Linked DNA regions of Pelodiscus sinensis. The main gene of each other region encodes a partner of the protein of the gene in region 2 in a complex. Links are inferred from orthologs where the notes say so. Each region holds a gene or a part of one and is shown on either strand. Other genes may lie near its edges.

What was found.
Region 1: the proteins of SMARCAD1 (region 2) and TRIM28 are in contact, whole or in part, in a crystal structure (PDB 6H3A), measured with the Homo sapiens proteins. The link is inferred for Pelodiscus sinensis from reciprocal best matches to the Homo sapiens genes SMARCAD1 and TRIM28. Residues at the interface, in NP_001362784.1 of Homo sapiens: Asp156, Leu157, Ala160, Lys161, Gln163, Thr164, Glu167, Leu168, Phe169, Asp188, Gly189, Ala190, Ala192, Leu196, Ala201, Gly202, Gly203; in NP_005753.1 of Homo sapiens: Arg330, Trp333, Thr334, Lys337, Ile338, His341, Leu376, Lys377, Ile379, Val380, Asp381, Val383.

What each region holds. Positions count from the first base shown.
Region 1 is NW_027465849.1:2,731,300-2,742,486, forward strand, and holds the start of TRIM28 (transcription intermediary factor 1-beta), read right to left. Parts: upstream 4,261-11,187; 5' UTR 3,948-4,260; coding exon 3,731-3,947; intron 1-3,730. UniProt on the Homo sapiens protein: Nuclear corepressor for KRAB domain-containing zinc finger proteins (KRAB-ZFPs).
Region 2 is NC_134715.1:18,988,337-18,999,071, reverse strand, and holds the start of SMARCAD1 (SWI/SNF-related matrix-associated actin-dependent regulator of chromatin subfamily A containing DEAD/H box 1), read right to left. Parts: upstream 4,166-10,735; 5' UTR 4,026-4,165; exon of another isoform or gene 3,946-4,025; intron 3,500-3,945; 5' UTR 3,468-3,499; coding exon 3,230-3,467; intron 1-3,229. UniProt on the Homo sapiens protein: DNA helicase that possesses intrinsic ATP-dependent nucleosome-remodeling activity and is both required for DNA repair and heterochromatin organization.

The DNA.
Region 1 (11,187 bases), on a different chromosome or scaffold from region 2:
AGACTGCAACAAAGATAACATTTCTATCTCTCACCTATTTCAACACAAACACCGCTTGAGTTTTAAGACTTTGGTTACTGCTATCCCCCTTTTTCAGGTATCCTTTTCCTTTCAACTTATCTCCTCTTTCCTTTTGCCCCGTTTAGTAAGTCTGGATTAATCAAAGCAACTTATTTTGTATTGTCAACCTGGCAAACAACTGCCCTCAAAGACAATTACCATCTTTAAAACCCAGGGCTCGAGAAACCGTGGTGAAAACCACTCACCAGCCCCGCACTGAGCATGAGCGAACCAGTGAACGGGCGACCAGCTCAAATCTACTCATCAAGGGCAAGTAGATAAGCAGATTTGTCAAGCCCTGTTAATACCTATATGCTCCTGACCACAGAGGCAACTGAAAGCAATGCCATATTCTAACTAGCCTGATTGCTGTTACAAGTTTGCCTGTTCTCAAAGTGGCTGATCAGACACCAGAGTAGTCCTGTGTTTCTCCAGCAATGTGGTTGTATATATAAGTCAGCACCAAAGTAGCTGCATTTTCTATCTTCCCTATTTTTCTCTCCTTCCACATTTGTCTGTCTTGTTTTTGGAAGTAGGATCAGATTTTACCTACACCTCCAACCTGGCAAACAACTGCCCTCAAAGACAATTACCATCTTTAATATCTACTAAAAAGATGAACAAGTTTCCTCATTAAAAACTCTACAGCACAAGTAAACAAGGAATTTTGTTAGTACAGGCAGTCCCCGGGTTATGTACAAGGTAGGGACTATAGGTTTGTTCTTAAGTTGAATTTGTATGCAAGTCGGAACTGGCTCCAGATTCAGCTGCTGCCACTGAAACTGACCAGGGGCTGACTACAGGAAGCCGGAGGCAGAGTTGCTCTGCCCCCAGCTTCCTGGAATCAGCCTGATCAGTTTCAACAGCTGCTGAATCTGGAGCCTGGGACAGAACAGCTGGGGCACTGCCCTGTAGGTTCCCACAGCTCTACCTGAGGCATTCCGCAACAAAAGCCTGGTCTGCTGGGGGGAGGGGGGCGCACTAGCTGCGCTCCCTCCCCCCGCAGCAGACCAGGGAAACCCGAGCAAAGCCGCTGCCTGGGCAGCTTTGCTCCTGTCCCCCTGGTCTGCTGGGGGGTCCAGAAAAGCCGCTGGACCCCCCCCCCCAGCAGACCAGAGAGACCGGGGAGAAGCTTTTCTCGCCCCGGGGAGGACACGGGTGGCGACTTGCCGCCCGTGAACTCCGGGGCAAGAAAAGCCCCGTTTATAAGTGCGGATCCGACATAAGTCGGATCCGCGTAAGTCGGGGACTGCCTGTACAGACTTAATATTTAACATTTCTAATGCTTTAGTAGTTTCTCTTCTACCTGCTTAAAGAATTTAATGCACTGTTTGTCATACGACTAAGTAGTCCCAGGATCTCTGCATACAAACCACCAAAACATGTTTCCTTAATGGACAGAGAGATGATTATTTTAACACCTTTAACATTCTGGGGCCTATTTATTCTAGCAAAATAAATAAAATGGGTGCACTTAGATGTCAAAAAGAGGACAGAGTTGCTGTAACCATGGCATTATGTTGCTACAAAGCAGAACACCACCTTCCCCCCCCCGTTTGCATGCAGTTATACCTAGTGTAAAGGTCCTTTGTACCTCCACAGCCAATCAGGAATACATTATGGCAGAATAAGGCACCATTATACTGGTATAACTGTACACAAATGAGGAAACTGCATCAGTGTTCTTTAAAATAATCATCACCATCTCCATGTTATCCTCATACAAAACAAGTGCCTAAATCAGATCTGAATCACCTCTCCCACTTTTACAGGTAGTCCCTTAGAGGAACAGAACTGGATTGGCAGTTCATCAGTTTAATCCCACTGAGGCCAGGTCCACACTAGAAACCTTTACTGGAATAGTAATGTTGGCTGAGGGTATGATTTCTGTACTGGGAAATCATATGATGCAACTATAGTTAACTGGTATGAGGTGCATCTGTATTTAGGAGAGTTTGCCAATAGAGTAGAACCTCTAAGAATTATATATAACTGTTACAAATTGACTGGTCAACCACACCCCTCTCCTGGAACAGAAGTATGCAATCAGGCAGCAGCAGACAAACCAAAATAAACTACTGTATGTGTTAAATGTGAACTAAAAAAGTAACATTTTAAAAGTTATGACAAGGTATGGAAACTGTTCATCCTTGCTTCATTTAAACGGACATGGCTAAAAAGCAGCATCTCTTCTGCATACCTAAGTTTCAAAGTTATATTTACTTAATGTTCACCTGTAAACTTTTGAAAGAACCATCAAAATGCTCAGAACATCTCCATTCCCTCATAATGGAAGTCCTACTGTGAAACAAGACCAGTCAACTCTTCCCAGTGTAGATTAGGCCTGAAAACCTACAGCATTTGAGCATCTAAATCATTTGAGCATTTTGGAAAGGTCTCCCTCCTTCATGGAAACCCTGCTCCCTACCAAGAGCAGACAAGTGTGAAACCCTCTGGAGTGCTACTCTTTTCACCCAGCACTTACCTGAGGCTTCCTGTGCCAAAAAGTATTCACTAACATATAGGAATTTCCTCCAAGTCCTTGCCCCATTATCTAGTCAGAATCCTGTAAGCACTGGGTTAGTAGTGTAACAGACAGGTATGGATGCATGGGTTGAGGAGAATAGTGCTAGGGAAGCTAGTGCAAGTAGCACATGGGGTGGGGTAGGAGTGGCAGACTAAGAACCAATCTGGGGACACAGTGATCTGGTAGACAGGACCACTAATTCAGGGCACTAAGGGGGACAGAGCAAGTCAGGGAAGGAAGTTTGGGAGCACTCCTCTGATGCACTTAGGGAGGAGTGTGCTGCTATAGGAGACTGAGGAGGCATGAATGGGACCCTGGAGATAGTGAAGGACTTGCTAGGGGGTGAGGCAGACATTCAGGGAGGTCTGTTGAAGCAGTGGTTTGGGGGAAGACATTGTCCTAGGGAAGTGCCTAGGTACGGTTATGGCAGGCAGGGCCCCCCTGGAAGGACCTCCTCCCCCACCCATCTCACTCCAGGGGAAGAAGTGTCACGCCCACTACACAGCTCTCCTGCCCTCAACCCACACCCTCCATTCCTAATCCCACCTACTACAGAAGGGACACCGCCTTGTGGAGGCCTTACACCTAATGCACACCCCCTCCCTCCCTTGCAGGAGGGAGATGGTCACCCCTGCCCTTCCCCCCCGTCCCCTTCCCCCTCCCCCCCCACAATGCACACGGCCCCCCCCGTGTGCTTCCTCCCTCCCCCCCATGCCCTTCCCCCCTCCCCCCCACAATGCACACGGCCCCCCCATGCCCTTCCCCCCTCCCCCCTCAATGCACACGGGCCCCCCCCATGCCCTTCCCCCCTCCCCCCTCAATGCACACGGCCCCCCCCGTGCCCTTCCCCCCATAATGCACACGGCCCCCCCGTGCCCTTCCCCCCTCCCCCCCACAATGCACACGGCCCCCCCGTGCCCTTCCCCCCTCCCCCCACAATGCACACGCCCCCCCCGTGCCACACGCCCCCCCGTGCCCTTCCCCCCTCCCCCCCACAATGCACACGCTCCCCCGTGCCCTTCCCCCCTCCCCCCCATAATGCACACGGCCCCCCCAGTGCCCTTCCCCCCTCCCCCCCCACAGCCCTTCTCTGCCCCCACAATGCGCAAGACCCCCCCCCCACTTGACCTCCCGCGCGCTCACCTTGTCCCTCTTTATTGTTGGCGGCCTCCCCGTCGGCGGGCGGCTCGGCCCGCAGGCACTCCCGGCAGACCGAGTGGAGGCAGGGCAGCAGGCGGGGCTCCCGCTCGGCCCGCAGCCGCTCGCGGCACACGCCGCACTTCTCCAGCAGCTCCATCGCCTCCGGCCGCTTCTCCCCGCCGGGGCCGCCCGCCTCGGCCGAGGCCGCCGAGCCCGACATGGCGGCCGCCCCCCTTCCTCCTCCTTTCCCGCGTCTGCCGGCGAAGCGGGGGGGGGGAGGGTCGCCGCGAGGCTAGCGCAACGGTCGCCGGAGGGGGGAGGGGCGCCCGCACGCGCTCGCGCCGCCAAGTCGGAGGGACGTTCGCCGCGAGGGCCGCGCGCGCGCCGCTAACGGCGATGGAACGTTCACGGCCCCGCTGCACAAAGCCTAGGAGACAAGGGGAGCTGCGCGCGCACACGCACGCCGCGCGAGACAGAGAGAGAGAGGGGAGGGAGGCGGGGAGAGAAAAGCAGAAAACCCGCCTGCCTGCTTTGGCGTCGCTCCTCCTACAGGGAGAGAGCGACGGCCAATCGGAGCTGAAATAGCCCACGAGGGCGGGCTTAGCAAGGGGAAAGTCGGGCCGGCCGGCCAATCCGGGGAGAGCGTCTCCCTACGTTCGGCGTAGGGCTGGAGAAAGAACGATCGATTGAAGTTGATGCCAATCGCGGGGCTTAGGCAGGGAGGTGGTGGGGGAGGAGGGAGGAGTGAGGAATGACAAGACAGAGAGCCAATCCGCTCCCCCGGTTGCCGGGAGGCCGCAGAATACGTAGAGACTGACAGGAGGTGAGGGCGAATCCGCTTTAGGCGAGGCAGGCCTGCCTGAGTAGAGCGTGGAAGGCGCCTCAGAACGGTCGGTTAATAAGGCTCCGCCTCCCGCATGCCGAAGGCAACAGCCAGTGATTGACGTGTCTCGAGGCCAATCAGCCATCGAATCTTCCCCCGGGGGTGGGAATTTTTTTGATTAGCATGGAGCGGACCCGGCAGGTTTCCTACCTTCCAGGAGGAGGCGGGATGTAGGTTGTGACGGACAGGAAAGAGAACCAATCAGATCATGAATTACCTCAGGACCGACTCAATGACTGACAGGAGTTGAAGCCAATTACTTCATCCTAAATTCCCGCTGCCCAGCTCCTGCCTGCCCACAGAGGGCATAGGAATGGGGGGGGAGGGAATCCATTCCCCCCCCCCCCAAAAAAAAATCCCTGAGGTTTATCACTTCCCTCAAAGTGGGGTGGGGGCAAATTATGAGTGAATCTGGAGTGACCCAAAGGACACTGTTTAGCTATGTGGAGTCACTCTGGATTCACTCTGGATTGACCCAGAGCAGGTTCCACCCCACGCTTCATTGGAATAACTTTAGAGTCACTCTGCACTGACCCAGTGAAGGGCCTGCTCTCTGAGCTCAGGAGTCACTCTGGAGTCACTCCAGTTTGACCCAATACAGGGTCCCGCGCCACTGAGCTCAGTGGAATTGCTCCAGATTCACTCTGTGTCCTAATATAGGGCCCCAACCGGGTGAGCTCAGTGGAATCGCTCCAGATTCACTCTGTGTCCTAATATAGGGCCCCAACCGGGTGAGCTCAGTGGAATCGCTCCAGTTTCGCTCCAGTCTGACCCAACCCAGGGTCCCTAGTCCACTGAGCTTTGGGGAATCACTTCAGATCGACTCTGGTCTGACCCAATACCCGGTCCCACCCCACTGAGCTCAATGAAATCACTCCAGACTGACCCAATGCTGCGTCCCACCCCATGGAGCTCAGTGGACTCACTCTGATTCACTCTGGTCTGACCCAAAGGAGAATCACTCCAGATTTGCCCAAACCAAAGTCTGCCCCCTGCCTTGACTCCAACACTCTTCTCTGAATCCAGAATTTCAATTTAGAAATAATAAGAGTGCGGCCGTGAAGCAGAGCATTGGTGATTGTTTGAAGGAAGCCACACAAACATTTCTGGATCTTTAAAACTTGCCTCCCTGTGAGCGATGAAACGCATTTGATCCATTTAACTAACTTTAGGACAGAGTACGTGCCGAGAGTGACTTGATCGTGGCCTCTCCAGTGTGTCCATCTCATGATTTTGTGGTGAGTCTCGTGATAGTGATTGTTTTCCTTTAAGCCCCAACCAAGTGGGTGTGTGCTGATTTCAGCCTTCATTCTTCAAAATAAATGACGTTTCTAGCCTCCGTGGGTGTGGTGAAATCTTGAAAACATGACAAATATTCTCTCTAAATTTTTTCATCTATGTGCAGAATAAATGTTGTTAGGTGCACCAAGGTATGTGCAGATGTGCACCACCCATAGAACCACATGCTGCCAACTGTTTGCACTCTGCTAATCTTTCCTCAATGGCTGCCCAAGTGCACAACCTACAGGGAACTCTGACAGTGATCCCAGTAAGGCTCAGAAGCAGAAGGCACATAAAAAGAACACCAATATGCAGGGCTTGACAAATAGTGTGATCTACTCGCCCGTGGCAAATAGATTACACCCCGGAAGAGCTGGCGCAGAACGATCTGCGCATGCACAGAACGATCTGCACATGCGCAGAGTGCAGAACCCCATGGCTGGTGAGCAGGGCTCGCCGCCACTCAGCAAGCCCTGCCAATATGCATGACTTCAGCATCCCCTCATGATTTTTAAAGCCAACCACATGATTTTTGGTAAGCCTGACACATAATTCTGGATCATTTGGCAAGTCTGCCTACCCTAGGATATTTCTGACTGTTCAGTCTTGCCCACAATGGCTACGTCTACAGTGCAAATTATTTCGGAATACGATATTCTAGAATAATTATTCCAAAATAGCTTATTTTGAAATAGAATAGCTACGCTGCAGGGAAGCCTGAAAATTAGTCCAAGGCAGGCTTCCCTAATGTAGACGTGCTATGTCAATTTAGAGCCCCAGGAGAAATAACTTAGAATGGCCCTGGTGAGGCCATATTTCAAAATAGCATAGGTGGAGCATCTACACACGGCAGCTGTGTCTACATTGGCACCCTTTTCCGGAAATGTTTAAAACGGAACAGTTTTCCATTATAAGTATTTCCGGAAAAAGCATGTCTACATTGGCAGGATGCTTTTCCGGAAATGTACATGTGCCAATGTAGACGCGCTTTTCCGCAAAAAAGCCCCGATCGTCATTTTCGCAATCGGGGCTTTTTTGTGGGAAAGACTACTGGGCTGTCTACACTGGCCCTTTTCCGGAACAGTTTTTCCGGAAAAGGACTTTTGCCTGAATGGGAGCAGCATAGTTTTTCCGGAAAAACAATGACGATTTTACATTAGATCGTCATTGCTTTTCCGGAAAAGAAAGCGGCTAGTGTAGACAGCTTTCAAGTTATTCCGGAAAAGCAGCTGCTTTTCTGGAATAAGTGGCCCAGTGTAGACACAGCCGGCTTGTTTTGAAATAGCTATTTCAGAATAGGCATTATTCTTCGTAGAATGAGGTTTGCAGAAGTCAGAATAAGCCGTCCATTATTTCAAAATTATGTCAAAATAACGGAATTGCTGTATAGATGCTCACATAGTTATTTCAGAATAATGGCCACTATTCTGAAATAACTTTGCCATGTAGACACACACAAAGACTTGAAGAAGAAGCTAGATAAACTGAGACAAGAAATAAAACTTGGATTTCTAACAACAAATATCATTAACCACAGAAAATGTCTCATCAAGGGGATGAGCGTCCCCCATCCCTTCAGAGAAGGGGTCCCCATCAGTTGGTGTCTTTAAATCCAGAACAGGTGTCTTTGTCTAAAAGATCTGTTCTAGCTCAATCAGAAAACATGTGCTGGATGCAGGCACCATGGATCTGTGCTATATTGGAAGTTGATGGAAACTGGCCTGGAAATCCAAGAACAATCATATTGGTCAAAACAAGAACTCTGGCCGTGGGTTCCCAACAGTCTCTACGATCATTAAAGCTAATTGGGCTTTTTAAAGACTCATGATTCTCCCCCCCCCCTTCATTTTTGCCATTTGATTTCTGTACAATACAAAGAGACCAGTCAGTTTAACCCCTGTGAAACTCCCAGGGTACATCTACAATTCAATAAAAGACTGATGAGTGGCGGACAAGCAGCGGAGCAGAGCAGCTGAGGTGCTGCCAGATTGGTCCTGCAGCGCCGCTCCTTACCCCCCTGCTTGGCAATAACTACTCCAGTCTGGGGGGTGGGGAACCCGCTCCCCTCCTGGAAACTCTCGGCAGTGGTGTGGGGTTTCCCCCGCCTTTCTGCAAAACGGGAGAGGGTTCACCCCTCGCCACGTCATTCCCTGCCCACTCCCCACCTCTCAGCCTGACGCAGTGTGGGTTCCGGCGGACCCATCACACGGTATAATCCCCTTCCCCTCTTCTGCCCTGCCCTTTACCAGCCGCGAGTGTCCATGGGGCTCACAGCAGCTCCAATTGTCCGGCTGGCCGGAGCACTTCCGGGTTCCAATTGGTGCTAGACTATCGGGAGTGCCGGACCACTGGATGCCGGACAATTGGAGTCTTACTGTAATTGCTTTCTAAAAAAAAATCAAGTAGAGAATCTGACTTTATCCCAGAACTCCAGGCACTAAAGCTTTCAGAAAAACATTCTCTCTCTCTCTCTCTCTCTCTCTCTCTCTCTCATACACACCCAGCATAGTAAAATTGAGCATATTTCTCCAGGAATAGGGGCTTTGTGTGTTTTTTTTAATTTTCTGACATGTAGGGTAGAAATGAAGGACCCTGATAATCAGGGGATGAGGGGTACACACAGCCCCTGCCATGGGGAGAGAATGGGAGAGACTGCTAGGGCAGATAAGAGAAATGGGGGCACACAGAGCCTCTGGTGGATGGAGACAGTGGGGGATGCTAGTATACGGGACGCGGGAATGAGGGGGTACATATAACCCCTGCCAGAGGCTGCCATTGGAGGAGAATGGGAGAGCCCAGAATGAGAGTTGTGGAGGATTGAGGCGGTACACTGAGCTCCTGGAGGGTGACGACAATGGGGAGATGGTGGCATGGGAAAGTGGGGAATGAGGAGGCACACACGGCCCCTGCCATGGGGGGAATGGGGAATTTTAGTACTGGAGATGGGAATGAAAGGACACACTGAGCCCCTGGTGGTGTGAGAATGGGGGGGCACAGAGAGCTGCTGACAAGAGGCAGGCAGGATGCAGAGTCCCTGAAATCAAAGGGGCTGGAGAGATGGCACCCAAGAAGCGAGTAGGGGGGCAGATGGAGGTATGCAAGGAACTGAGCCTGCACAAGCTATGAAACATGTGACTCTTGGTATATATGAAACAGCAAGCTCTGGATGTGGGATTCCAACTCCACTGCTCTTGCTCATTAAAGTCAAGGGGGGGTTTCCCATTGATGCCCAGACTCCTATTGACCTCTAGGGTAGGGTTGAGTCATCCCAGCCCTATAGAGAACAATGGTTCCCATCCAGCTCAGAAAGGTGATAAAGGCACAGCCCATTCGGATGCTGATGCAGTTAAGTGAAACAGTTCCAGACAAACAGTAATAGAGAGGTAGCCCTGTTAGTCTGATCTTGCTAAAACAAAAGGAAAAACTATGTAGCACTTTAAAGACTAACCATCTTGTTAGTCTTTAAAGTGCTCTATAGTTTTTCCTTTAGTTCCAGACAAAGACATTCATCTCTCTCCACACCAAACACCTTTCCTCTCCTCTGTGCCATGGCCCCAGGGTTCCTGGACAAACAGGCTCTTCTCAGGCTCCCCTCCTATTTCCCTCTCTTCCCTAGCCTATGTAAACTCTTTTCTGGATCACCAAGGATAGGAGAACAATCAGAAGTGGTATTTATAGTTCATACCTCATAATGGGATAAAATGGAAGGTCCCATCATGGATCACTAACTTGTTAAAAAGAGAGGAACTAGTGGGTTTGAATAAATGGTTATTAGGAAAGGAATCGATAATAAGATGGAAGATATCATAATGCCACTATATAAATCCTTAGTATGTCCACATTGTGAATACTAAGTGAAAATCTGGTTGCCCCATCTCTAAAAATATATATTAGAATTGTAAAAGGTACAGAAAAGGGCAACAAAAATAATTAGGGATATGGAACAGCTTGTTTTTAAGGAAAGAGTTAAAAGACTGGGACTTTTCAGCTTGGAGAAGAGATGACAAAGGGTGTGTCTGCACAGCAGGGCTTAACTCAAAATAAGCTACACAAATTGAGCTACATCAATTGCATATCTTATTTTGAAATAGCTTATTTCCAAATAGGGAGCATCTACAATGCACTTATTTCAAAATAGAGCACTCTTCCTCAGACTTCCCTTATTCCTCGTACAATGCGGGTTACAGAAAACAGAGTAAGAAGTCTTCCAGCTTGACAGTATTTTGACACTATTTCGAAATAACTGCCTGCTGTGCTGACTAAGTTATTTCAGAATAGCAGTAGTTATTTTGAATAGTATTGCACTGTAGACATACCCTAAGGCCGTGGTCACCAACCAGTAGATCGCGATCTACTGGTAGATCTCAGGGGCTCCAAGAGTAGCTCTTGAGCCCTCTCTGAGCTGCGCACCTGCGCAGTACATTTACATTAGATTTCCTCATGTAATGTAGGCGGGGCTTCAAGGAAGGGGCGGGGCAGTAGATCTTCGCCTGTTCTGAGACTTAAAAAGTGATCTTGGGTGTAAAAAGGTTGGAGACCACTGCCTTAAGGGAACTTATGATGGGGGCCTATAAAATCATGAATGGTGTGGAGAAAGTGAATAAGAAAGTGTTATTTACTCCTTGTCATAACACAAGAACCAGGGGTAACCCAATGAAATTAATAGCCAGCAGGTTTAAAACAAACAAAAGACAATACTTCTTAACACAGTGCAAAGTCAGCCTGTGAACTCATTTCTAGGGAATCTTTTGAAGGCCAAAACTATAACGGGCTTCACAAACGAACTAGTTAAGTTCATAGAAGACAGGTCCATCAGTGGCTATTAGCCTAGAGATATTCAGGGGTACATGCTCTGGGTGTTTCTAAAGCTCTGGTGACCAGAAGCCAGGAACGGACAATCACTAGATAATTAATTGGGGTGTATGGGGTTGCATGGTAGTACTTCTAATGGGGTAGTACCTCTAAAGTAGGGCTTGTCAAACTTCTTCGGGAGTGGCCCATCCTTTATTGATTTTTACTGGCACCCAGCACCCACCTGTGGCTCCATGTAGTTGCTTTGCATGCAGCAGTGGCCACACCAAGGGCAATGGGTTTGACAGGCGGGCTAAACCAGATAAGGGTAGCCGATGGGATTGAAACCCTCGGTGATGTTAGAAAAAAAAATTGCCCCCCCCCCCCCCCCCCCTGTAAAAAGTTTGGCCAGGCCGCTCTTGCTATAGTGGGCTGCAGTACTCCTCGGGAGAAACCGGCCCCACCCTTCCTGCATACCATTGCCTTTAGAAAAAGGAAAGGTGTG
Region 2 (10,735 bases):
CTGCATAGTGTTTTTGTTTATACCAAACTTTCCACCCCCACAAAAGCCTCTCTCTTTAACACCAGTATCCTTCCGGTAATGCTGTACGGCTGTACCACCTAAACACGACATTTACAGAAGAATTAAAGCTGCAAACCATCCGAAGAGCAACGGAAAGATGGGTGGGTGTGAGTAGGCTATAGCAAGTTATCATCAATGATTTGCACAAATGAAGTAGTGTTCACGATATCATCCAAGTTATGGATGACAGGAAAAAGGGATGGGTTGGCCATATAGCCAGATCGAGAGACAACAGATGGACAGCACTATAATCCATTGGTATCACGAGATGTAAAAAACAAGAGGAAGGCCTCCAGCACATTGGGTGGATCCTTTATGGAAGATGTATGGAAACACATGAACAATAACCGCACAAAACAGGATGGAGTGGAAAAGTTACCATCTGCATTGGTGGCAAGACTATTCGCATCGATGCAATCACAGCTCTTCCCAGTAAGTAAGAGTTCTGCAGCTCTCACTACATTTAAAAGGCAGAGGCACAGCTGGGATAGCAAGAGTCTCCCCTCCTCTTTGTCAACTAATCGAGTAGCTGATGGAAATTAGCTGCTGAATTGAAATGTAACATCCCTATTTTGTAACAAATGGACTCAACTATTGCCACTCACTGTATCTATGAATCAAGCCTAATGCCACAAGAAAAATCCAACTGGTCGAGAAACCAAGAGCTCATCTACTCATCAACAGAGGACACTGGGAATATATATCTTTATACACTACACTTGGCATGGATTGTCCATTATATAGAGACCAAATCAAGTTCTAAATTTCAAAACCCTGCATTAGTTTAAGTACTATACAAGTGCGTTCATTCATATGCTAATCTAAGAACATTCTGAAGCATGGATGGTTAGACTCAATGACCTCCTGAAGTCTCTTCCAAACCTATGATTCTATGTTAGGGAATGGGGAAACTGTTGCATTTGCACAGTAGCGATGTTAGATATAGGGTAAAACAGCTCCCCGCACAGACTGGCTGCCTGCCGCCCTGCAGCTGCACATGGTGGCAGCATCCCCTGTCCACGGGGGTCCGAGCTCCCTGCTAACAGAGGCTGCTGCAGGAGGGAGGTGGGTGCAGGCGCAGCGAAGCAGCCTCTGTCCATGGCAGCCCCGGCTGGCTGAGGACAGAGGCTGGTCCCCAGCAGCAGCCCCTCCCCTGCTGCTGCCTGTGATAGAGGGCTTTCTTGCGAAAGAAATTCATGTTGCCTGTCCACACTGGCCTCTTGCACAAGAACAGTTGCGCAAAAGGGCTTATTCCTGAGCGGGAGCGTCAGAGTTCTGGCACAAGAAGCCCTGATTTCATACATGAGAACGTTAGTGTACTTGCGCAAGAACACACGGCCAATGTAGACAGGAAGCAAGATTTTGCGCAAGAGTGGCCACTTTGGCGCAAGATCGTGCCAGTGCAGACACAGCCAAGGGGAGAGAGGGAGGGAGGCAGGGGCAGGGAATCAGTGCTGGCTCAGCATGTCTGCATGGTTTGGGGTAAATGTAAATGTGATTATTAAATTGACTGCTTTTTAATTGAAAACTATTACAACAGTTTGATCATCTTCACTGATTAATCTGAAGATCTGATCCAAAAAGGAGTGAAGTTGGCAACCCAGTAACTGATAAACGAGTCTCCTGGCTTAAACTCCTACCACTACCACCACCACCCAGAATCCCTACAGATGATCAAGTACAAACACAGAACCAAAAGATAATCCAACCTCACATAATTTACCATCTGAGACTGGAATTATGGAATTACACTGTGGAATTACTTTGGTATAAATATGCTGCTCAGGGATGTGTGTACAATCCACATCCAGGAGCAATGTAATTATACTGACCAAAATGCCCGAATAGACAACACTATATTAGTGGAAGAGCTCTTCCCACTGACATACTTACTGTCTCTAGCGGAAGTGGATTAACTACACCAATGGGAACGGGATGGTGGCATGTGGCTGGAGCAGTCCTTCTGTCAGCATAGAGCAGCGGTCAAACTGGTCAATCATGATCAAGTGGTCTTTCCTAGGAAATCTCTCAGTTGATTGCAATCAGCAGGCTCCCTGACTGCTCCAGCCACATGCCACCATCCCGTTCCCAGAAGCAGCCAGGATGGCCCCATTTATGTGGAGAGGAAGGAGTCTTGGCATGTTGCTCCTGCTTTCACCCATCACCCCTCTCCCCCCACAGTTCCCATTGGCTGGAAATGGTGAACTGTGGCTAATGGGAGCTGAGGGAGTGGTGATGGCGAAAAGGAGTAGCACATGGAGCCACGTGCCCCTTGCCTCTCTCCCCAGTACTAATGTGGTGCCTTGACCCTTTCCCGAAACAGGGTTGGGCTGGGGCAGGCAGTATAGGAATATAGGAATCTGGTACTGACAAAGCAGAAGTAGGCCATTTGATGGAAGAGAGAAGCAAAAGAGTCAAGGGTGGAGGCAAGTCAAATGTAGAGAGAATCAACCATATCAATGGATGAAAAGGAAAAGAGGACTAAGAGCAAACAAAAAGTCACCAACATTAATATACTGACTAGGGATGTGAATGGCTAACGGGTAAACATCACATTTACCAGGTGATGCTTACCAGTTACAGTTAACCAGCAGGCTGGAACTGCCCCCTGTTCACCACAGGCATAGGGTTGTCCTAGCCCCGAAGGGTCTGCTGCAGGCGGGGGGGGGGGGGGGGGGCATTCCAGCCCAGCCAGAGCAGCCCCCAGGCACGGTGGGCCTGGCCCAGCACACAGTGGTCAGGGATACTCTAGTCCAGCCAGAGCAGGCCCCAATTGCAGCTCTCCTGGGTCACTGCAGCCTGGCTGGATCAGGGATATACCATCGTCCGTTGTCTGAAGGTTCTAGAATACTTTCCTTGAGAGACAGAGAGTAGTACATGTGTTATCTAAAAGGGCTTCAAGCATTTTTTTGAAATTTAATCAATGAAGCACTTCATTACTGGTTCTCAGCAGACTCCCTGCTTGATCTTTTAAATCCTGATTCTGCCCTCTATTCACTTTTTTAAAGGAAAATACGATGGCAGAGCCTGTGATATTTGTAAGGCAATTATTATGAAGTAGCGGTAGCTGAGAAGATGGAAGTACTGAAGAAAAACTGTAAGTGCGGCAGACATTTTACTCTTATACATTGCCAATATGTTTGTGCTAAACACAAAACATGTAACTCACCAGTTTTCTCAGTAACATCTGATGCTGGAGTATCTGGCCTGCTGCTGTCATCTGTAACCTCATCATCATCATCATCATCACCACCACCACCATTATCACCACCAGCAGCACTGCCTGCTGCAGCAGGAGAAGGCGCAGAGGGTATCTCAGCTGGGGGAAGAGGAGTAGGTGGATTTTCTTGTTCCACCTTTTTAGTCTTCTTCTCAAAGCGAAAGCGGTCCAGATTAAACAGACTCATCGCCTCAGCCTATAGCTCTTGCTGGTCTGGGTCTGCGAGAGAGAGGAGACAGGATTGACTCTAGGGGGGAAGGAGGCCAGGCAATCAGCCATGGCTCACTCCAAACCACAAGGCACCGAGACCAGACACAAGCAGGCGCAGAAGCTGCTGCAGAAGGAGGGAAACCCAAGGGCGGCCCTTCCCCCACCCCCACTCGGCGGGGCCCGGGACAGGCATTGTTGGCCGAAGGCAAGAAACCAGCCCAGGTGGGGGAGAGAACGTCAACTATCGCGGGGGGGGGGGGGGGGAGCGCAGCCCCTCCCGCGCTCAATCCGCCCCCGCAGGGCGGCCCCGCCCGCACCTGTCTCACCCGGGCAGAGCCACCTGGCTGACAAAGACAAAAGCGGGCGGGGAGGGACCGACGATGGGAGGGGGGGGGGGAGACGAAGCGGAAACTGCAAAGCGGCTCCGAGCCCGGCTACCGCGCGCGGCAAAGCACCAGCAGCCGCTGCCTCGGCCTCCGCCGGTAGCGAGCAGCGCGGGGCAGCAGCGCCAGGGGTGGCACCGGCGGCTGAGTACCCTTTTCGGAGGCGAAGCGCGGCGGCGACGTCAGAAGGCGGCGACAGAGGCGCGCCTGGTGATGACCTCACCACTTCCCAGTAGCCCCCGCTCCCCTGGGGCTGGCTGCGGTCTCCCGAGCGCGTGCCGGAGCGCGCCTCCTCCCCAGCCTACCCCGCCCAGCCTTCAAGCGCGCGCCTGCCTTCGTCTCCCAATGGCTGTCTGGTCGCGGGGCGGGGCTTGGTCTGCCACGAGGTCGAGCGGCGCGGGGGTGCGACGGGGCCGAATGTTGCCAGCGCTCCCGCCTGGCCTGCGCTGTGCGAGCCGCGGGGAGGAGGGATGCCCCTGCCCAGCCACCTTCGCAAGCTCCAGTGGCGCTGCGCCCGCCCATGCAGCAAAATAGCTCCTCCGCCCGCTACTCGCCCCCCCAGCCCACCCTGCTCTCGCTCGGTATTGGGCAGAATATTTATGATGCGTCCCCCCCCCTTCCTTTATATTAGCGCATCCACCTCTCTCCTCTAGCAGTGGCATAGTGTTACTTATTGCATCTTTGCGCCCCTGGCTGTGATGCGCCTGGGGTGAGCACTAGGGATGTCAAATGGTGGAGAATCAGCTAATGGAGTAGTGGTAGGAACAGGGTTTTAAGCCACTGTAGCCAGTAGCCCTTTGATGCATAGGTAAAACCTTAAATTATGGTCTGTGGCTAAGCTGTCCCTCCCCCAAAGCCTGCTGTTCAGTTGGAGCAGAGAGACACGGCCTAGCTGACATCAAAACGGATCATAGGAAGCTTTGAGAAAACAGGACGGACACAGAACAGCAGCCCTGTCTGCTTATAAACTAGGTAGCGCAACGCTAAACGAAAAGCCACAATTGGCTACTACTATCATGAATTTCACATATACACTCAAGGTTACGGCCCTGTGAGGAGCCCCACAGTTTGCATGGGAAAGAGACACCCAGCTGCTCTCTCAAGGCCAACCAGGAATTGTTGCTAAGGAACTAGAGATAGTGCCCCCCTTTCATGAGCCCAACTTGCTAATTTTGTAACATTATAAACTATTGCTTCTGTGTAGCTTACTTTGTTTTGTTTTTTGCTTTACACCACCTAGACAAGCACCTGTGAACCACTCCTATCACCTAGACAAGCACCTGTGAACCACTCCTATCACCTAGACAAGCACCTGTGAACCACTCCTATCACCTATCTGGAAGGCACCGTTGCCACTCCTACATATCCCAATTGGAATATATGGGATGTATGCCTCACACTTTGGGGGAGGGGAGAGGGATACATATACTTGTGTTTAGCAATTGTGTTAACCTGAGCCGTGAGCAGAGTTACTATGTAATCTTTTAGACTTTTGGCTTATTGGCTCATAATATCTTGCTGCTACAACCTATCCAGGGGCTTGGGAACTTGCCGCCCCATCGTTTCTCTCTCTGCCCATCAGCTCTCCATATAGTCTATTGTAATCATTTACTTGGCAGTGTTTTCTGAGCCCAAGTGGCAAGATGGCACTCCGCCAGCGCTGTGTGTAATAAACCCTCCATGCTTGAATCTACATGGTATCTACATTTTTTGTTTTCAACATAATTGATGAAGGGAGGGTGCTCACTTCCCTCACTGTGGCTCTGCAGTTGCCGCCCAACTCTTACTACATTTAAACTGCAGAGCCACAGTGGGGGTAACTCACAGGCAGCTCTTACTACATTTAAAAGGCAAAGCTGCAACGCTGCTGCACATCTACTCCCCACCTGCCAACTGCATACAGTGCGGGGAAGGGGAGAGAATTGGCTTTTAAGCCAGCTCCTCCCAGCACTGGCTCCTGCTTCCTCCCCAACCTTGCTGCCTCTATATTAGAAGCAGCAAAGGGGAGGAGGGAGAAATATGATAAGTCGACTCAGCTACCAGATAAGCCTAGACCAGTTGCTTGGATGGCACCTTACTGGCCTGGAGCAGTTTGAAATAGGGACATTAGTGTAAAGCTGAGAATCCTGTCAACCACATGCACTTAATGGACAGCAGGTGTAAAACAAATAAAAGGAAGTTCTTCACACAGTGCAAAATCAAACTGTGGAACTCCTTGCCCAAGGAGGTCATGAAGGCTTGGACTATAACAGGGTTTAAAGGAGAACTAGATAAATTCATGGAGGTTAAGTCCATTAATGGCTATTAGCCAGGATAGGTAAGGAATGGTGTCCCTAGCCTCTGTTTGTCGGAGGGTGGAGATGGATGGCAGGAAAGAGATCGCTTGATCATTACCTGTTCGGTTCACTCCCTCTGGGACAGTTGGCATTGGCCACTGTCAGCAGGCAGGATACTGGGCTGGATGGACCTTTGGTCTGACCCAGTATGGCCATTCTTATCTTATCTCCTCCTATTTCAGCAGGCTCCTCAAGAACATACCAGATTTGCCTGCTCCCTCACCCCCTGCTGTTGCCTTTCTGAGAAGCAGCAGCATGGGAGGTGGGGGAGGATGGCACGAGAGGCTGCCACGAAGCAGCCTTTGTCCACAGGGAGGTCTGAGCTGTCTGTGGACAGACGCTGCTCTGCATCCCATGGAGAGTCTGAGCTACCCACACACAGAGGCTGCTGGGGGTTTGAGGTTTCCACCAACCGAGGCTGCTCCACAGAATGCAGAGAAGCCTCTGTCCGTGGAGACCTTGGATCCCCCCCATGGGGCTGCTGCCATCCCTTCTCGCTACCTCTGTATCAGAGGCAGTAGCACAGGGCAGCAGGCAGCTAGTCCGCGAGGCAAGCTGTTTTTTAAACCAGCTCCCCTCGTGGACCAGCTCTTGCCTGCCACCCTGCACTGCTGCCTCTAATAGACAGCAGCAAAGGGTGGCAGGGCACTCCTCAGGAGTGGGGCCAGAGCGCACTGGCTGTCAGCCCCACCGCTGGGGACTGTCAAATATTTGTGTAACCAATAATACTTTATGCGCTTACAAAACTATTCAATTATACAATATCTAACATCCCTGGTTTGAAAGCTGGACCTGTGCTGGAGGCCACTCTTTACCACAAAACTCCTCCAATGCTCATTTCACTTCTGTTCATGAATATATTCCTTGCTTTTATTCTAGCACTGAAGAAACAAAATTAACTAACCACTTGAAACTAGGTATTGCTGACTACATCATAGCCCATCATGTCGTTTTTATTCCTTCCCAGGGGCCTCGTGATGCCAGTGCTTTCCCCTCCTTTGGCACTCTTAGCTTTGGTGCTAAACAAATCCTGAGGTAAGTCAGGAGAGGCAAAGAGCACTCCCCAACTGTCATTCCCAATTGCCCTGGAAACTTACTGCAACATTCTATCCCTTCTCCTCTTTGAATAGGAGAAAAAGAGCAGGGGACGTCTTCTCAAGTGGCAGAATTTTAAAATGTCTTCCCAGTACAACATCCACTTTTTCACCAGAAAATCCAGTGCCTAATAAACTTACTGAAATTTCTTCTGCTATCCCATCTCTGTACAGCTATGGAAACACATTCAAAATGTCTGGCCTGCTCTGCTATTGCAAGTCCAAGGACCAGACAACAAATACAAGCTATGTGCTTGCACCCAACAGGCTGATGGAGGTGTCTATAAAGGTTTATTATCTCCAAAACAAGGCTTAGGTAATATTTAAGATAGACAAAAGAGATGAGTTGAAACAGGAATTTGCCTCAGGTTAGTTTTGAGTATAAATAATAACTAACAGTGAACAAGGACAGATGTGGCCTGGAGGGATTGTATAAACACAAGCAGGACAAATTTGCAGAAGTAGCGTATGATTGGATAAAAGGCAGTTCAGCATATATGGCAAGGATATTTGGAAACTTTCCGAGGAAGTCAAAGCAGGAATGCTTTGAGGTTATTATCTGAAGAGGGATGAGATATGATGAAGAAATTCTGTTGGTTAGAGGGAAAAAGAAGACTGGAAAGGGGAATTGTAGAGATCTGAAAAGCAGACACAGCTGTGGGTGGGGAATAGGTAAGAAAATGTAGCATAGGCTAGAAGTAAATAAGGAATTTGCCAATCAGGGAAGAATGTGATAGGACGTTGAAATTGGGATGGTGGCTGCTGGAACTGAAACCACTTTAGTGGCACTGATGAATGATCTGCTGACAACGGATAGAGAACAGACATCGATTTTTAGGATCCTGGACATCTCTGAAGCACTGATTGTTATCGACCAGATCAGATATTGTTGTCAAGCCTGAGAGAGGTGGCAGAGATCAGGGGTAGTGAGTTACAGCAGTTTGAGTCCTTTTTGGAGGGACGTGCCCACTGAGTAGGGATGGGGAAACTGCACCTCTATTATTAGACCCATCATCTATAGAGTCCCATAAAGATGGATGTCTCTCTGGTCATATTCAAAATTTACATGTGTCCATTAAGTGCATGTGTCAGACAACGGAAGAGGTGCTAGCAATATTCAGTATTATCTATCCTTCAACTCTATCACTAAGATGGCCCATTGCAGGTGAAATAAACTCATGGGTGAACAACACTTGGTTGAAACAACTTAAGCAAAGAAAAGCCACAGTGAAATCTCCTTTGATTGAAAGTACTATTACAATAGGAGGTTGGGTGAAACCTCACTTAAGCTGGTTGAACATGATAGCCCTTCTGTGTTAGAGATAAACATAAGCAACAGTTGAGCTCCTTTTTGGAATAAGAGCTGAATCCGCGTGCTCTTGGATTCCCCACTGATGTTAAGCTCTTATAGCAGCATCTGCAAGTAACACTGTATGTGCTAGTTATCCCAGAGGCTCCATCCTGACATAGCAAATGACGAGCTGCATTCGTTAGTGATGGCTGTGTCACCTTTTGGCTGGCCTCCAGTAATGCAGTATACCTATGCAAGCCTTCAATGCTTAGGAAATTCAACAGTCCCAAATGCTGTAGTGTGTCTCCTTAGCAACACTAGTCATCACAAATACATCAAACCTCTCATTTGCTCCTTACCGCTGTTTCCCATAGACTATGAATCAAGGTCAGACATCTCACCTTTAGGGGCCTCTGAGACACTCAGGACATATAAGAGATTGAATAACGTTCCATCTTGAAGATTATGATCAAGGGGTGCCAGAACAAGGGTGGAGCGACAGTTTTAAAAGTGGTGCAGCTTGGAGGTAGAGCCACAGTTCAGACATCCCACTTTTAGAGCACTTTTACCGCTCCTGCTGTAATCAACAATTTCTCTTCCCTGGCACAATGTAACTTACAAAAGAGTGAATCCACTCAGGAGACATCTTTCTTAGGGGCTAACCAAAGGCTGTGGGGTGGCCTGCCAATGGAAGGCCAAAGGGGGAAGTTGCCAAAGGGGGGTTTGGGACTACAAAGTGACCTGGGGCTCACAGCCACTGCTGCTGTATTAATAGGGGTAGCTGGAGCCACAGGCCCTTTAAATTGCTACTAGAGTGCACATTGCACACCACCCCATCTGGGAGGATGAAGCCGGGCCCATTCCATCTTGCCAAAGGGCCCATCCAGACTCTCAGCTCCCCTGCCTGTGGAATAAACTCCCATAGGGTATGTCTACACTAGCTCATTACTTCAAGCGAGGTAGGCAAATCAGGCAACCGGAGTTGCAAATGAAGCCCGGGATTTAAATATCCTGGGCTTTATTTGCATGTTCCCGTCCGGCCGCCATTTTAAAATCCTCCTTAGTTTGAATGAACTGCCCACAGCTACACGCGGCAATTTAAAGTTAATCCGGCAATTTAAAGTTAATCCGAACTAAGTCCTTAGTTCGGGTTAACTGTTACTCCTCGAGGAATGAGGCGTAACAGTTAATCCAAACTAAGGACTTAGTTCGGATTAACTTTAAATTGCCGCGTGTAGCCGCGGGCAGTTCGTTCGAACTAAGGGGGATTTAAAAATGGCGGCCGGACGGGAACATGCAAATAAAGCCAAGGATATTTAAATCCCGGGCTTCATTTGCAACTCCGGTTGCCTGATTTGCCTACCTAGCTCGAATTAACGAGCTAGTGTAGACATACCCATAGAGAGTAAGGCGAGCACAAACCTAATCACACCTCCTTCTTCTGTAGGGACAAGAGGCAATTCTCTGACTTTGCCTTCTCTAATAAACATAGGAGTGGATGTGTCAAACATATTTTACACATTTTCACTGCACCCACTTCTGTCCCTTGGGAGAAAACCAAAACATGACAGAAGTTAGTCACATTACTTAATGCATTATTGGAAAGTACTCAGATACTATGGTGATGATGACACTGACACATATAATGGGTGCATCTTCATTGCTAGGCAAATTGTGTACTTATTTCTAAGTACAATAGCTTATTTCATAATTTGGCACTGTCTACACAGCACCAAATTTTGAAATAACCCGCTATTCCAAAATGTCCCTTACTCTTCATCGAATGAAGTTTACAGGGATGTTGGAATAGGGAGCCCGAAATAACAGGCTTGCTGTTAAGACGTGGGATAGCTATCTCGGGATACTCCAGTATCCTGAAATAGTGTTACAGTGTAGACATAGCAATATAGAATACAGTAGAATGAGACCCCTAGTAGAGGCTAAGAAAAGGCAAGAAGTTGAAGAAGGGAAGGTAAATAGACAGTTGCAAGAGAGTAATAGGTAAGGGAGGTTTAAATATATGGGGAGTTGCATTGGAGACTAAAGGAAGCACTTGGGTAACCCAGCAACCTAACAGAGAATTCCATAGTTTTGACTCAGTGAGGTAGGCTGTGCCACACACAGAGGTCTGAAGCTCTGGA